Linked DNA regions of Arabidopsis thaliana. The protein of the gene in region 2 interacts with the protein of the main gene of each other region in a biochemical or structural test. Each region holds a gene or a part of one and is shown on either strand. Other genes may lie near its edges.

Region 1 (3,756 bases), on a different chromosome or scaffold from region 2:
AACCGATGCACCAAAATAGCCAGCAAACTTTTCAGATCTCTCTCTCAAGCCAGAAACTACTAAAATAAATTTGTTTACTATATAAGCCATTGAGGATGAGTAATACACTATCTGTCTCCATCAACATGCAAACAAGCACAACATATAGCATAATATATACAAGCTAATATAAATTTATCAGACCCTACAGCTTCAGCAAAAACAAAGAAAGATACAATAAATTCACAGAAAATTACCTGTGGCACAACTAAAAGTGATATGCTAGCATAGAGCAGATCAATCGGTATTCCTTGAAACTTAAATTTCATGACCGGAACATGGGCATCGGGAACAGGATGGAGCTCAGTCACTTCTTCCATCTCAGCCAATATATCATGCAAGATGATGAAGAAATCCTCCTGTAAAGAGTAAGTGTTAAGAACTAAAGAATCAAACTTCTGCATCAATAAGTGGTAGCAAGAGTCACCTCCCGGTTAACATAAGATGGCCCAACACACAAAGTATCAATGTCAGCCCCAGGACCATGCACCTGCAAAGTGAACAAAATTGAAGTCGGTTCAGCCTCAGAGACTAAGATTGCATTTGCATAGACAAAAACAGAGCGATCTCTCGAGTAATCCACAAACATATAGCAAAAAACATATTATACGCATTTTAGCTTCAAGATAAAAGCAAGGAAGCGGTAAACAAGTAGCACTTACGCCAAGTCGGTAGGATCCAAAGGTGAAAATGACAGCATTTGCATCTTCCACCATCTGATCAGTATATCCTCTTTGCTGCGTTAACTGTTTCACCCAGTGCTTTACAATCTAAAAAAAAAAGGTGGGAGATAAGATTGATAGTTTCAGACAAATAGCACAATGAACAGCATGTGAAGAAACTTAAAAACAGCAAAGTAAATCAATGGACATAAGAACATATGCCTGACCAGTCTATTTCATATTGAACTATGATCTATGCTTAGCCCAAAATCAACAACCATACACGAGTAAGAACCAATACAATGAAACCTAAAAGACCATTATAAACACAATAATTTTATTCTTGTCGATTCAGACACCCAATTAGCACAACCATCAAAAGATAACACTTGTAAATATACAGAACAAACAATCAACGAGACACGCTGAGTCACCTGATCGATGCGTCCTAGAACTTCCTCTCGCCGCATGGTATCATCCTTGCTCTCGTAGAGTCCCTCATCAACCAAGTACTTGAGCATATAAGAAAATACACATCAGATAAGCCAAATCAACGAATCCTTTAAACAGTGGAACAATTTTTGTATAAACAAAAAAACAAAGCTTTACCTTCTCCAGCTCCACATTACGCTTAATATCCGCCGAAGAAGGCCCAGCAAGAGAGAGCGGCTTCGTAATTCCATAGCTTTTAGGAGAATTCAGCGGCGGCAACGAACCACCTAAATTTTGAGTACCCACCATCATAACACGATTGATAATCCTAAGCGATCAAAGCAGAAGCGCAGCACAAAAACATAATCTCGCTTCACGATATGATTAGAGGGAGATCGGATCAGACCCCCAGGTCAAGATGGATTCGAGACGGGAATTGCACAAGGAGAGGAAACAAATAAAAAGGAGATTTTGAAAATCGGAAACCCTAAATCGATGGAAGGGGAAAGAGACTACGGTGTCAAAAAAAGTCAAAGAAGAAGGAGAATCTGAAAGAGGTTAAATCGATGGACTAGGAACAGAGAGAAGAGAGAAAGAGAGAGAGATGATGGATCAAGAAGAAGAAGGAGGTATGAGGGAGATGGAGAGAGAGAGAGAGCAAAGGTTGGGGAAGATATTAGGTACACGGCGATTCGATTTTATAATTAAATTTTGATTAGTGGATTAATGTGTATGATTATTTTACGGAGGGAGCCGATAAGTCTCCGTTCAAAACAAGAAAACATTGTAATCATTTTGAAAACAAATCTAAATTAGATAATTTTGTTCAGATTTTTAATTTAAAGATTTTAATGGGGTTAGTGGGATTATTGGTAACTAGAAATCATGTGTCGATGGAAACCAACTGATTTAAAATCACCATCTGTTAATTTTAATTGATAAAGTTGAAAACTGGTGTGTTGTTTATTAGATTTTGATATAATTTTGATACTATATTGGATTTTAACATATTAAAGTGTTTTTAAATAAAAGATACAAAAGTTTAGGCTGTATATACAAAAGTTTAGGCTGTATATACAAACATGAATTTCAATTAGTGATGTAATAATGGATTTCCTTGATTAAAAATTACAAAGACCCAATTCTCATGGTTTTGTGAGATTGCAAATATTATTTTTTTTTAGTGAGGGAGATTGCAAATATTTTTAATAACAAATAGTAACAACTTTCCTAACTGTCTAAAACTTATCAAATTCATCTAAAATTTATTAATACTCGAATCTTTTCTTTCCAAATATGTAATTCATTATACTCCTAATTGGAGAGGAAACTTTATTATTTTAGAATCCACTTGTTTGATATTTAAATCCTAAATTGATTCATGAAGATTTGTAAAGTTTAGATTGATTTGTTAATCAAATAAAAAGTTTAAACCGATAATTTGATAGTTTAAAAATGATTTTTTCGGACAATTGTGTATTAAGATCTTTTTTTTATACTTAAGCGTTATAAAGATTTGTAAGATAAATTTTCTCCTCTCAGAAATTTGATTTTTAAGCTAAAATAACTATTCGATCTATACATTAGCTTGACATTATTATTTTTACAAAACAAATCAGTTTTTATAAATGCTATTTCTCAACAGGATATGATATTTCTCTCTTTGTCATGAACAATACCATATACTAAGAAAAAATGATTTTAAAAAAAAAAAATCTTAAGAAATTAAAGAATAGAAAAATTGCCTATATATTTTTGACACCAAATAGAGAAATTACTAAGAATATATTTCGTAAATATTAAGATATTCTTATCGTTTAATTTTTGTCATTTTCTTTAAAGGTATAATAAAGATAATTAATGAGATTTTATCCATACTTCTGCATTTATCCACGAATCAATTATCTGAAAACCGGAAATTGACAAAAGGAAAAACCAGCCGCCGTTTACGCTGGTATTTCGGTAATGTCCGTATATCATAAAGTAACGGTGAGCCAAAACGACGTCGCTTTCTCGTTCCTTACTTCTATACCACTCTGAGCTCTGAGAATTAAAACTCACATACATACATACGCTTCAAATTCACAGTCGCTTTACGTCACCGGAGAGAAAAACACTCAGAAGAATAAGGTTTTCTTCGATGGCTTCTAATGGCGTGGACGAGCAGATTAAGTTGGTGGAAGGACCTGCTGGTTATGTACTCGAAGATGTTCCTCATTTGAGCGATTACATTCTCGATCTCCCCGTACTACTTCCTCTCTCTATCTCTATACGATTCCATCGATTATTCTTTGAAATCGACATTTTCATGGATCGGTGGTTATACGATTTACGAATTTGATATTGTTGCCGATTTGGTGGTTCGTGTATAGCAAATGCAAAAGTTGTGTTTGTATAATTGGTTTCGCCTATTTTTAGCCTATATGTTGATTCGGACTGTTGATGAGATCCTGGTCTCTATCAGGGAGAGAATTACATAAATATTTATATTCGTATTAGTGCATACAAATGTGAAATGTTAAATCAATGTCAACGTGGAAATTGATTGGTGCACATATGCTTACTCGTCACCGAATGTTTGATTAGATCTATTAATCACTTACTATTTTCTAAATTTGATGCT
Region 2 (3,756 bases):
GAAATATAAAGTCCACATGATATTTTCTTCCTTAAGAACTTTAGCTTTAAAAATAGATGAAATTTTTCTGTTGAGCTAAAAGATTCATTTCCCTCTATACATTCAGATTTCTATTTTCGTTTAGTAAATATTTCCTTGTAATTCTACTGTGGTCCACCATTGTAAATTCATTGTTTATGTTTTTGTAAGAATTTTCAATCTGTAAATGTATTGAAATCCAATTTCTGTATTGGTATTAAAAACAAATTTCAGTGACAGCCACAGGCTCACAAAAACAGTTCTACACTACTACTTATCAGTTTCACACGAGAGCTAAGTTTAGTTATGTGCAGTAGACAGCATAGGGCGTAGATAAGGCCAAAAAACAAAAAACAAATGATTAAAAAAAAGTTTTTTTTTTTGCAAGAATAACCATATTTTGATACTTTCTTTTTATTTATTTATAAAAAATGTATTGTATTTTTAGATATTTTTCTAAGTATGGAGATGGGTCTTGATGGGTGGGTCACCAGCTGATGAATTAGAATCGAAAATCACATTCTTAGGTGTCTTTTGGTTTAGGTTCACCGAATCTTCTTAATCTATCTTTAAAGAACCAAAAAAAAACACACACAAACAATTGTCTTCAATCTCTCTGGTCATTTTTCTTATGAAAACAAGTATAATAATTACATTTATTTACACTCTTTAACTAATCAACCTATTATTACCTAACTACAACTTTCATATTCATATCAAGAAAGAAAGGTTTGATAGTTAGTTATGGTTGTTATCCTTAGCCATTATGATTTTGGTTTGGTCCTCACGGGTCCTCCTTCACCAAATGCATATGTTTTTTTTTTTTTTTTTTTTTTTTTTGTGTTGCCTTTGAAGTGAAGCTATCACAATTTTGAATCAAAATGTTGTTTGGCTTTCTAACGTGCATCAATAAAATCAGGAAGAACTTATCATTCGTCACAATCAACATACCAGCTACTTGTTTCTTATTGTCCATCATATTCCTAACAAATGATATATATAGTTCATCTCGAACTATTGAATTATTAAGTATTACGCAACACACCTATGTCAAATGATCTGAACTTCGATACTATATCAGAATTCAAATACGTTTAATTCAAAATTAACTGAAAGTGAATTCATTCATTAATATCTCTTATTTCATAGAAGAGATTTCCAACATTTTTTTACCATTGTAGTGATCTTTTAGTTGCAACATTTACTAATTAGTGATAAGAGAGCACACATGTGGGAGAATTAGGCACGTGTGAAGAGCTAAAGAGAAGCATGAGAAGAATAAAAGAGTATAAATAGGGATATTAGAGAGGAATTATAGAGATTATCCTGCGTGATCATTGATGTTGTGAGGAGAATTAGGGCTTGTGTGCTATGTTCTTGATGATAAGAGATGAGCATTGTAACTCCGATCTTATCAATATAGGGTTTTGATTCATTGTAATTGGGATTTACGGATAATAAATACAAAGGTTTATGCGTAAGTTCTTATCAACTTGTAATGGTCTTCTGGTTGCACCATATGCTCATAGATCTAGTGTATTTGGTACAACTGCTTAAAAGTTTTTGATTTACTCTAGTATATTTAACGGAGATTTGCCTATTTTTCCTTAAGGGTGTGTTTAATGTTTTCATGTTGAAACAATGAATGAAGTTTCATGTAATTTTAAATGAATGAGCAATCATAATGAAACCGATCTACTTTGAAGTTTGAACATACAATAGAATTGACTCATATGCTTATAATGGACTCACCATCTATGTTTCACTGCTACCACAACATTTTTTGGTAAAAGATTCACTAATCCCTCTTTGTGTTGGTTAAAAAATCAAGGTAAAGAGAGAAAAAATTTCAAAGATTATATGTACCAAATGAACAATTTGAAAAGAAAAGGGTTATTTTAGAAGTAAAAGGAAATATATGGACCGGGGAGGTTATTATTACAGAATTAAAAAACCCTCTTTCACGGTGGCTTCTTCTTCTTTAGTTCATCGGAGAAATTTTAGGGTTTATATCGGCGAACGGAAAAGATGGGTACTTCGGTGCAAGTGACTCCTCTCTGCGGAGTTTACAACGAGAATCCTCTCTCCTACTTAGTCTCCATTGATGGTTTCAACTTCCTCATCGACTGTGGTTGGAACGATCTCTTCGACACATCGCTCCTCGAACCTCTCTCCAGGTTTCTCTATCCTTATTATCTACATTTCCAGAATTCACCAATCTAATTTGTTTTGAATTCGATTCTTCTGGTTTACAGGGTTGCTTCTACTATAGATGCAGTTTTGCTTTCTCATCCAGATACACTTCACATTGGTGCTCTTCCTTATGCTATGAAGCAGCTTGGACTCTCCGCTCCTGTTTATGCTACTGAGCCTGTTCATAGATTAGGTCTCCTTACAATGTATGATCAGTTTTTGTCCAGGAAGGTGAGATTTTGTTAACTACTGGAGTGGTTATTTTTGCGCAATTGTCTGCATTGTAACACGATGATCTTACTGTTGCAGCAAGTATCCGACTTTGATCTGTTTACACTGGATGACATAGATTCTGCTTTCCAGAATGTGATCAGATTGACTTACTCTCAAAATTACCATCTTTCTGGTATGTGGTTTTAGTGATTTCTAGGCTCTATAGCAAACTAGAAACAATTGACACTTATCTCAAGCAAGTTTGATCTGCATTATCTATGATCTCATATCGGGAAGGAGTTCTTTGACACACATTGAGTATTTGGTTGTTGAAACCTAAGTTATGACTTCAAAGATTGTTAGGATGTCTCAAGGTTTTATCGTTGCCCTATCAGGAAAGGGAGAGGGTATTGTAATTGCTCCTCATGTTGCTGGACACATGCTGGGAGGTAGCATCTGGAGGATAACAAAGGATGGGGAGGATGTTATATATGCTGTTGACTACAATCATCGGAAAGAAAGGTACATATGTTCAGATTTTATCTTATTTGAAGTTCGAGTAATGTTCATAACAGTAAGTAAAGATGTGGACTCGTGATACTGAATTGTATATCTTAATTCAGGCATTTGAATGGAACTGTTTTACAGTCTTTTGTTCGGCCTGCTGTTCTGATAACCGATGCATATCATGCTCTTTATACCAATCAAACCGCAAGACAGCAAAGGGACAAAGAATTTCTAGGTTAGCTTGTAGCCCAATATGTGTTGTGTATCTTCTATAGTATTTAAAACAGCCCGCTTCTAACTGCCAGAAACATGTGTGCATGTCCCCATTTATCATTCAGATACCATTTCAAAACATCTTGAAGTTGGAGGAAATGTTCTATTGCCAGTAGACACTGCGGGTCGTGTCCTGGAACTTCTCTTGATACTTGAACAGGTAATAGAACCGCTTTGAATGTATCATGCTCTTAGTTAATGTTCAGCTGTTTTTTAAAGACTGGATATTGATCAAACCTGCAGCATTGGTCACAAAGAGGTTTCAGCTTTCCCATTTATTTTCTCACGTACGTGTCATCTAGCACAATTGACTATGTTAAGAGTTTCCTCGAGTGGATGAGTGACTCCATTTCAAAGTCCTTTGAGACTTCACGTGATAATGCCTTTCTATTGAGGTAGATTTTCTTATAAGAATGCCTTATTTGTGCCGTCGTTTGTTTAGAATACAGAAGACATCACATGAAATTTAAACACATGCAGGCATGTCACTCTGTTGATAAACAAGACTGATCTGGATAATGCTCCACCTGGTCCAAAGGTTGTTTATAAAAT

The links.
Region 1: the proteins of CPSF100 (region 2) and nPAP form a complex in vitro, tested with the Arabidopsis thaliana proteins (one study listed by BioGRID).

Annotation. Positions count from the first base shown.
Region 1 is NC_003075.7:15,847,823-15,851,578, reverse strand, and holds the start of nPAP (nuclear poly(a) polymerase), read right to left. Parts: upstream 1,808-3,756; 5' UTR 1,446-1,807; coding exon 1,311-1,445; intron 1,214-1,310; coding exon 1,136-1,213; intron 810-1,135; coding exon 702-809; intron 530-701; coding exon 467-529; intron 399-466; coding exon 237-398; intron 1-236. Other genes in the region: PFK6 (phosphofructokinase 6), read left to right, coding at 3,274-3,378. UniProt on the Arabidopsis thaliana protein: Essential protein. Polymerase that creates the 3'-poly(A) tail of mRNA's. Also required for the endoribonucleolytic cleavage reaction at some polyadenylation sites.
Region 2 is NC_003076.8:8,050,504-8,054,259, forward strand, and holds the start of CPSF100 (cleavage and polyadenylation specificity factor 100), read left to right. Parts: upstream 1-1,935; 5' UTR 1,936-2,046; coding exon 2,047-2,195; intron 2,196-2,273; coding exon 2,274-2,442; intron 2,443-2,520; coding exon 2,521-2,617; intron 2,618-2,819; coding exon 2,820-2,946; intron 2,947-3,047; coding exon 3,048-3,166; intron 3,167-3,269; coding exon 3,270-3,364; intron 3,365-3,447; coding exon 3,448-3,599; intron 3,600-3,684; coding exon 3,685-3,742; intron 3,743-3,756. UniProt on the Arabidopsis thaliana protein: CPSF plays a key role in pre-mRNA 3'-end formation, recognizing the AAUAAA signal sequence and interacting with poly(A)polymerase and other factors to bring about cleavage and poly(A) addition. Required for antisense-RNA-mediated gene silencing.